2 linked regions of the Canis lupus familiaris genome follow. The protein of the gene in region 1 interacts with the protein of each later gene in a biochemical or structural test. Links are inferred from orthologs where the notes say so. Each region holds a gene or a part of one and is shown on either strand. Other genes may lie near its edges.

Region 1 (4,318 bases):
AGGGCCTTTGTAAAGAGTCAATCATGTAACGCATATCTAGCACTTTGCCGTCCCTGGCACAAAGAAAATGGCACCCATTAAGAATAATTATGTTTAGGGATCCCTGGGTAGCGCAGCGGTTTGGCGCCTGCCTTTGGCCCAGGGCGCGATCCTGGAGACCCGGGATCGAATCCCACATCGGGCTCCCGGTGCATGGAGCCTGCTTTTCCCTCTGTCTGTGTCTCTGCCTCTTTCTCTCTCTCTCTCTGTGACTATCATAAATAAATAAAATTTTTAAAAAAAGAATAATTATGTTTATAACACTAAAATGCTGTCTTTCGAGAAAGATTCAAAGGCAACAAAAGAAACAGAAGAAACTTTAATGAGTGTCTACTAGAGTCCCAACCTTGTGTTAGGTCCAGACCTATAACAATTTGCAATGTAAGGAACTTCATCCTCATCTTAAACTGGTACTTGGATATGACATTTTTAAATGTACTTAACCCCTGTTGGTCCCCCCAGGTGCCTTCATGATGAGATTTCTGTAATTGTTACTATTATCATTGTGACTTGTTATCTTTAGGGTATTCTCAAAAGGAACTGCCTCCCTGTTGGAGCAGAACTTAAGAGGGAACAAAGGTAGGGAATTGCTAAAACCACTATTGCGTATGCCGTATACCAAGTTCATTAAGGCGTACTACTAAAGATCTGGTCTCATTTTTTATGCCTCTATCATCCTCATTAATTTTTCTGCTGATGTAATATCTGTTTTCCAATTTCTCCCCCCCCCCTTCCACGTGCAAACTTGCGACGAGAAGCCCCAGTTTGGCAGCCCTCCAACCGACAACCCAAGAGGTAGGGGTAGCCTCAGGTTCAAGTCACCTGAAGTACGTCTGGGGGACGGTGAATCCAGAAAGCAGGCGAGCGGCTACGCGTCTGCCCAGAGGCTCGGCCCCAGCCTGGAGACCCAGACCCCGGGAATGAATAGAGGGTCCACCAACTCGGCGGCTCTCTGTGGCCGCACCCTTGACTAGATCGCGGAGCCGATAGGGATTTCCAACACTCCCCAAGTTTCAACTCAAGTGGTCTCTGAAGCTGCGTGTGCCCCAGCTTCGAACGTCTGTCCGCCTGTCGGCGACGTGGCCGCGTCGGGGACGCACTCTAACCCCCAGGGTCACCGAGACGCCTCCATTCCCTCCCCTGGCCGGGCCCAGTGCCGGGCCCCCCAGCCCGCGGCTTCTCCTCTCCGCGTGCGGAGGGAGTCCGCCCCCTCGCCGACCCAGCCGCACGCAGCCCAGCGCCGCGAGGGGCTCCGGCGCTCCTGACACCGCCCGGCGGCAGGGCGGAGGCAGGGCCAACGGCGGAACCGCCCCCAACCGCCTCCCGGGCCCAGCGGGCGGGCGGGTTGCTGGGGCGCCTCCACCTCCTCTTCCTAAAGCGGCGAGGCGCCGAGGAGCGGCATCACTCGAGCCCAGGTCCCGGCTACCGCCACACGGTGCGCCCAGCGTTCGGGAGGAGGAGCGGCGGCGGAGGCGGCGGCAACAGCGGCGGGCGGGCGCCAGAAAGGTAGACTGAGCCCCAGGCAGCTGCGCCGCCAACCGCCCAGAACCCCCAGCCCGGGGCGACGCGCCACCAGCTCAGTCACCCCACTTCTGTGTGTCCTTCCAGGCCCCGGTCGAAAAGCCTGGGAGGGCCGCCGAGCTACCCCCGGAGGAGGAGCCAGTCCGAGCCCAAGGCGCCACCGCCACAGGAGCAGTGCAGAGCAGTCTTCGCCTTCATGGCCCACTCACCGGTGGCTGTCCAAGTTCCCGGGATGCAGGTGAGGAAGCCCAGGCCGCCTCCGCCGACCACGTGACTGCCCCAGAGCCCGGTGCGCGGTCCCCGGTGACCAGAGGCGGCCCCGGGGCTCCCTTGAAGGCAGGGCCGGGCGCTGGGGCCAGGTGACCCGGGAGTCGGGCTCGAAGCGTTTTCCGGCGGCGTTTAGACCAGCTGGTGCATTGCGCGGGGAGGGGCGGGGAGGGACCCGGCGCGCGCCGAGGTGCGGGGGGGGGGGGCGCGGGCGGCGGGGGAGCATAAAAATAGGCCAGATCCAGACACCTGCGCCTGCGGAGCGTGGTCCGCCTGGGGACTGGAGGTGGAAGGTCTTAACTTGAGAGAGATGGAGGTGTCTCGAATTTGTGGGGTAAAAAGCAAGTCGTGCGCCACCCCCCGCACACACACAAGTTGGGGTGGAGCAAGACAAGGGGGTGTCGGTGGCGGCGGTGTTGAATTGGGCTCTTCCTGTGTGCGTAGTGCGAAGAGCGAGGTGGCTTCTCTTCGGTGTTGCTTCTTAAGGGCGAAGTTCTATCTCGCTCCCCCACCTGGCCCATCCCATAGTGTGGCTTGAGAAATGCTGCGTCCTTCGTCTGAATGGCTGAGGTGATGACTCCCCAGCCCCCTCCCCCTGCCTTTCCCATAAGACAACTGTTCATGTGGTTAAAGGAAGCTTTTTGTCCTGGACAAGGGACTACTGCTTAAGACCCATCTTCTATCTTGAGATTTACCCAGCCCCCGCCCCCCATTACATTTTCATTTTATTCAGGAAGAAAGAAGCGATGTTCCTACACTTTTTACGCGGTTACGTATTTAAAGTGGTGCATTTCAAGCTATCTACTAAATGTTATCCAGGTCTACTAACATTTAAGCGTTCACTTTTTTCCTTTCCTAGATAGCCTAAACAACCCATTTATGAGCAGATGAAAGACTAGAAACACTAAAGACTCACTCAGTCCCTCATTAGCTTCTAAAAATGTAAAGCAGATTTTTTTCAAGTTCAGAAAAAAACGTTTAGAGTTGTAAATAGCTTATGTTTCTAGTAAAACGCTGTGGATTGGGGCCTCAATATACTAATTGATGCATGGAATTCATCCTTTTTTTTTTTTTTTTTACCGACTGGTCATGTTTTATGCATGGTCACAAAAAGTAATTTTAAAAATACTTTCCCACAAAAGGACCATTTGTGTGGGACATATATCAATCCTAGGACTCCTGTGTGTACTAAGCACCAGGCCTAAGCACCAGGCCTTTTAGCTGAATATAGGGCAAGTCTGTGTTGAGTCCCAGGAAGTCGGTTTGTATTTAATAAAAAGGAGAAAGAAAGAAAAAGGGAAATGAGAAATATTCGGGCTTTTTAAAAGATTAATCCATTCAGCCTTTACAAAATGCCTCAAACTTTTTTCTCAGACCAACCCCTTCCCTCCCTCACTCATTCCCCCATCCACCCAGCCCCACAACCCATTCATTCAGTCTGCCTTTGATTGTGTAGCAAGAGATTAGTAGTTTGCAGTACTAACTCCGATTTTGCTCTGTCTGATGTGGAAGAAGTGCGAAATACTTCTCACCGTGCTCTTCTTTCCATTCTGCGGGGAGTAGAACGGTACAGATGGAAAGTTTGTCCCTGAGGGTCTCCATGCTTCTGTCTCCATTGTGTGCGCCTGCGTCAGCAGAGAGCGTGCCTCCTGTTCATCAAGTTTGTGACTCTGGGGAACTCTGTGTGCTGGGAAGAAAATGGTTTCTGGTCTTTATTTCATTTGTCTTTATTTGATTTATAGGGTTTAGGACCCCCTTGCCATTCAGTGTTTCTTATTGCTCCCTGCTTTAATTATTGGAGTTCCCTATCTCTTGAATTTTAAAATCTTCATTAAGGTGGTTTAGTATGTGAATCACATCTTAATTTACAACTTCTGCCTCTTACTGTATGCCTTCCCAAAATTGTGGTTACTTAGTCCCACATAATTTGGGGAGGACAGTCCTCTCCATATTAGCAAAGAAGAGAGGGATACTTGTCACTTTCTCCATCTTAATGAAATGATAAATTCTTAACTGTTTATTTCCATTTTATTTGTAGGTGTGATTCTTAAGCATTTGATGCATCACAAAAGCTTTCCACAGTAAAAATTGCACAGTACCTTAAAAATAAATTTGATACATGCAGTGTGACTCTTGAGACTAGACTACTTTTACTATTCTTTTGTTCAAAAATATTGCAAATGAGATGCAGAAATATATGCACTTGTAAAATTCTCAACTTTTGTTCAAGAGTTAGGAGCAACTTTTAAACCGAGAGTAGTAAGAAAACTCAAGTTAGCCATGTGTTCTTGAAATTAATGTATAGTATTTCCACAAATCAGGGTGAAGTGGTTGACTGGCCTATAACTTTTTAACAGTTTATTTTAGAGAATTATGAAGATTGATGGAAAAAATGATTTTTCCAGAAATAAAAACAAAATTACTTTATCCACAGTGTTTTTCTCCCCCTGAGGAGAGACATGAAGTAGAAGTCGAGCTACCTGTTCTATCA
Region 2 (4,592 bases), on another chromosome or scaffold:
GCTCCCTACAGGGAGCCCAATGCAGGACTTGATCCCAGGACCCCGGGATCATGCCCTGAGCTGAAGGCAGATGCTCAACCACTGACCTACCCAGGTATCCTTCTTGACTGGACTATTTCAAAAGCCTTCTAAGGAGTCTCTTGGCTGAAACCATCAGGTCCTTCAGGCTGGGCATTACAGCCTTTGAAAGTTTAGCCCAAGCCCTTTCTCTGCTCAAAACCCTCCAAATAGCTTCCCATCTCATGCAGAGTGAGAAACAAAGTCCTCAGTTTGTTCCATTTGGCCTCTTTCTCCCCTCCCCTCCTTCCGTGCAAGTGCCTTGTTGGGCTCCCTGGTGTCCCATCTCAGTGCCTTCCTCCTTGCTGTTCCCTCTGCCTTTCCATACACAGAGCTCTTTCTTCTTGTAGCTGCTCCCTGCAGGAGCGCAGTAAGTAACAGTATCTTCCCTTCTCCCCCCTCCTTGGCCTGTGTTGTGTGTCTCCACAGCCCTGGAAACCATCCGATGCCACTTGCATACAGTGGTTTATTTGTTGATTGGTTTGTTGCAGGAGCAGGGCCTGTTTTGTTCACTTCCCCACCACCTAGGACACACGGGCTGGCACACAGTGGATGCTCAAAAACGATCCATTCAATCACAAGTTAAGAACAAAGCCACAAAATGAAACAAAAACCGTACATGCCTGGCATTTCTAAGTAGAAGACTCTGCTGTCAGAGCTTTGCAATGCATTAGCTCTTTCATTCTCATAAGCCTATGGTAGTGTGTGTGTGTGTGTGTGTGCGTGTGTGTGTGTGTGTGTGCGTGTGTGTGTGTGTGTGTGTGTAAAGGAACCCAGGCATTGGGACAGGAAATAATCCACAGAGTGGGGCTGGAGTTTAAATCCTATTCATCTGGATCATTCCATCACTTTCTGCGCGCGCTCTCAGAGGATGCTAAATGAATTGATCTGTCCCTCCCCAGCATGAAAGAATCCATCTACACAAAATCGGCCCTTGCTTTTTTAGGAAAAAAAAAAAAAAAAAGCTTTGCTAACAGCTGAGTAACAGCTGAGGAAGCGGCGGCAGAAGGCGGACCCCGGGTTCCTCCCGGAAGCGCGCGGAGCACCAGCACGTGAGCGGCAGGTGGTAGCACCGCGGGCCTCCCTCCGCCGCGGCTTTCCTGGCGCGGCCCCTCCGGCTCCGGCCGCGGGCGGGGACCCCGCTGTCCCGAGTCCGCCCGGCCGCTGGGGGGCGCCCGAGGCGGAAGGGGGCGTTGCGGCACCGCCCGACGTCGCGCCTCCGGCGGCTGCGCAGTGCGTACGTCAAAGCCGGGCTCGGGCCGGGAGCGCGGAGCGGGGAGCGGGGAGCGGGGAGCGGCGCGGCCTGGGAGCCACCGAGCCTGCGGGAGCCGGCGAAGGCGAAGGCGAAGGCGGCGCGGGGCCCCGCAGCAGCAGCCGCAGCCGCAGCCGCAGCCCGAGCGAGCGAGCGAGCGCAGCAGAGCGGCGGCCGCCGCGGGAGCCCCTGGGCCGCCGTCCGCCCGCGCAGCCGCCGCCGCCGCCGCCGCCGCCGCCGCCGCCGCCGCGGGAGCCCGTCGCCGGGAGCAGGAGCGGGCGGAAGACAACGGAGGGGCCGAGCGCCCGAGCCGCGCCGCGGGGACCGAGCGAGCAGCCCGAGGCGGCGGCGGCCGAGGACGGGGACGGCGACGACGCGGAGGCGGAGAGGGAGCCGCCCGGCCCAGCCCCGTGAGTGACCCCCCGGCCCGGCCCTGCCCTGCCCTGCCCGGCCCGGCCCGGCCCGGCCCGGCCCGGCCCTGCCCTGCCCGCGGCGCCGGCCCGTCACCGGGCCCGGGGCTGCCTCCATTTTCTCGGGCGGCGGCGGAGGCGGCGGCCCGCCCTCTCTCCCTCCCTCCCTCCTCGCTCGCCCTCGCCGGCGCGGCGCGCAGCGGCCTGCGGCCCGGGGCTCCCGGGCCTCCCCTCGGCGGGGGGCGGGCGGCGGCGGCGCAGGCGGGTGGGCGGGGAGGCGCGGGCCGGGCCAGCTGTCACTCCCGCTGCGGCCCCGGCCCAGTCCCCGGCCGCGGCCCCTCGCCCCTGAGCCCCGCTCCGCTTCCTGTGTGACACGGGGACGCGGGCAGCATCTTTTGTGATCCTCCTTTCGGGGCGGGGGCGGGGGCGGGGGCGCCTCCCTGACTTCTGGCTGGGAGTCGTGCGGCCGGAGCCTTCCCGGCTTCAGTTGAGCCAAAAGCCGAGCGCGGCGGGCGGGCGGGCGGGCGGGCGCCGCAGCAGGTCCGCGCCGGAGGGATTCAAAGGTAACCCCCCCCCCGCCCCCGCCCCGAGCAGCTTAGCCTCTGCCGTGGGGGAGATAAGCCCAGCACACAAATAACCTCGGTACCAGCGACGAGGCGATAAGTCCTGTGAAAGAGCTACAAAGTGCTAGAAAGGCACCCAGGGAATGACCGGACCGGACCCGATCGATCGATCACTTCCTTCCGCCTGGCAGAAATCTGGAAGGCTTCCTGGGCGAGGCGGTGCCAAGCCGGGCGTGGAAGGCCCCATGGGGTTTGGAAGAGGACGGGTGGGGACCCGGCGGTATGTGGAGGGGCAGCAAACCCAAAGATCACAAAAAAAAAAAAAAAAAAAAGGCATGGTCTAGAAATAGTGGGTAATTAGTTCAGTTGCCTGTGGCCAGTCGGGGAGCGAAGGGGTCGGGCTCCCGAGGTGCTGAGGGGCCAGACGCTCGGCTCCTGTGTAGGGGCTGTTGGAGCGGCTTTCTAAGGTGGACTGAGCGCTCATCGCCCAGTGACTCATGAGCCCCGGAAATGTAAGCTGGGAGATCTTAAAGGCGCTCTTGGGAAAGGGAGAGGAGGAGGGAGGCCCAGTAGAGAGTCGTCGTTCTGTGCCTTGAACATAATGCAGCTCGAGATCGATTTTGACAGCTACAGATAAATTCACGTCCAGGCCAAGCGAAGAACCTTTTGCAAAAAAGCTTCATTAGATACCGGGCTCTTAAGAGGTAAGGGAAAGATGCGCACGAAATAAGCTCCTCTGCACGGAAGGCGTTTCTGTTGGTGCGGTTCACTAAAAAAAAAAAAAAAAAAAAAAAAACGCATCAAAACTTCTTCCACTGTGTGTTAGGTGGCTACGCTTTGGAATTACTGAGCTAAGCGTGACTTCTTTGAAAGGGCATTTTGTAAGGGCAATCTAAATTGATGACTTTAAAAAAAAAAAAAATCAGGTTGTTATTAATATTCCGGGGCGGCAAGTTGGGACATAGAACCGTTTTTATGGAAAGGTAAACATTTCTTCATTAGTTTTTAGTTATGAAAGTGTAGGAGAGTGAGAAATGAAAATCTAGCTTGATTTTTGTACATTCCACCCCCCCCCCCCAAAAAAAAGATTACTAGCAGATAATTAGCTGTATTTAAAGTCTAGAATAGATGATTTGTGGAAGCAGCTTAGAACTCATGTTCGTTTCTTAAAACACTTGTTTGTTGTTTGTTTCTATGATCCGTGAATGTCAACTTTTTTCAGTCAAGAAAACCTTGTAAAATGCAAGAGGTCCTGGAAAACATTTTTTAAATGATCTTCTATAATCTTACCGCTTAGATTTGGTTGCTTTTAACATTTTTGCATACTTCCTTTTCAGTCTTTTTATGCTTATTTTTTTCTTGCATGATGAAATAAAAACTGCATGTATGTATAAATATTAACATTTTTGTTCATTGAATATCTTTATATAAAAACATTTTTACCCGAGTAAGGAAAGTCTTAAGCGTATTCTTTTTTTTTTTTTTTTTTTGGACAGGGTTGCATTTATTTATCTCAGATAAAATGCAGTAGTCACGCTTAATAACTGCAATGGTGGGCAGAACTTCTAAAGGTGTCTTGTTTGAAGTATATTTATTAACCTCTTTGTAGGATTTAGGTCTTATTACTTATTGAAGAAAGGTTTTATTTGGGGGGGGTGTCAGCATCAGATATGGAAGAGATTACACATTTCTGCTTATATGAGTGGATATACTTTTTAAAAAAAACATGTACTTTCTAAAAAGATTTTCTTAGCTGGTATAATATCTCCCATACAGAGTGATTTATCTCCCCATCTCCCCTAACCCTCCTCTTCTAAAAAATAGTCTTTATACTGAGGCTATCCGTATAGATTAACTACTTTTTGATCATGACGTTACAAAGATTCAATATGTAGTTTTTCTGTTGGCGTTTCTTTAGTAAAATATAAAATTTGGTGAAATAATTGCTGCTATAACAAAAGGAATTTTGTTTTGTTTCTCATTTCAAGACAGTTCACTTTAGTTCATTAGCATTTCAGACTACAGGTTCTTGTTTAAACCAGTTTTTTTTCCCTTTGCTTTACATTCTAAAATCTATTAGTGGGATCTCGGTTTCTGTTTCTAATCGCATATAAAGAGATGTTGAGTTAGATTGTATAAACTTTCATAAAGCTAATATAAAAGAATAGTTGGGATGCCTGTGTGGCTCAGCGGTTGAGCGCCTGCCTTTGGCCCAGGGCATGATCCTGGAGTCCTAGGATCAAGTCCCACATCCGGCTCCCTGCATGGAGCCTGCTTCTCCCTCTATGTCTCTGCTTCTCTCTCTGTGCG

What was found.
Region 2: the proteins of STK26 (region 1) and CAB39 are reported together in a solved structure, tested with the Homo sapiens proteins (2 studies listed by IntAct, with this or other methods). The link is inferred for Canis lupus familiaris from reciprocal best matches to the Homo sapiens genes STK26 and CAB39.

The regions. Positions count from the first base shown.
Region 1 is NC_049260.1:103,879,294-103,883,611, forward strand, and holds the start of STK26 (serine/threonine-protein kinase 26), read left to right. Parts: upstream 1-1,381; 5' UTR 1,382-1,545; intron 1,546-1,647; 5' UTR 1,648-1,756; coding exon 1,757-1,798; exon of another isoform or gene 1,799-1,963; intron 1,964-4,318. UniProt on the Homo sapiens protein: Serine/threonine-protein kinase that acts as a mediator of cell growth. Modulates apoptosis. In association with STK24 negatively regulates Golgi reorientation in polarized cell migration upon RHO activation.
Region 2 is NC_049246.1:42,900,573-42,905,164, forward strand, and holds the start of CAB39 (calcium-binding protein 39), read left to right. Parts: upstream 1-1,590; 5' UTR 1,591-1,719; intron 1,720-2,821; exon of another isoform or gene 2,822-3,051; intron 3,052-4,592. UniProt on the Homo sapiens protein: Component of a complex that binds and activates STK11/LKB1. In the complex, required to stabilize the interaction between CAB39/MO25 (CAB39/MO25alpha or CAB39L/MO25beta) and STK11/LKB1.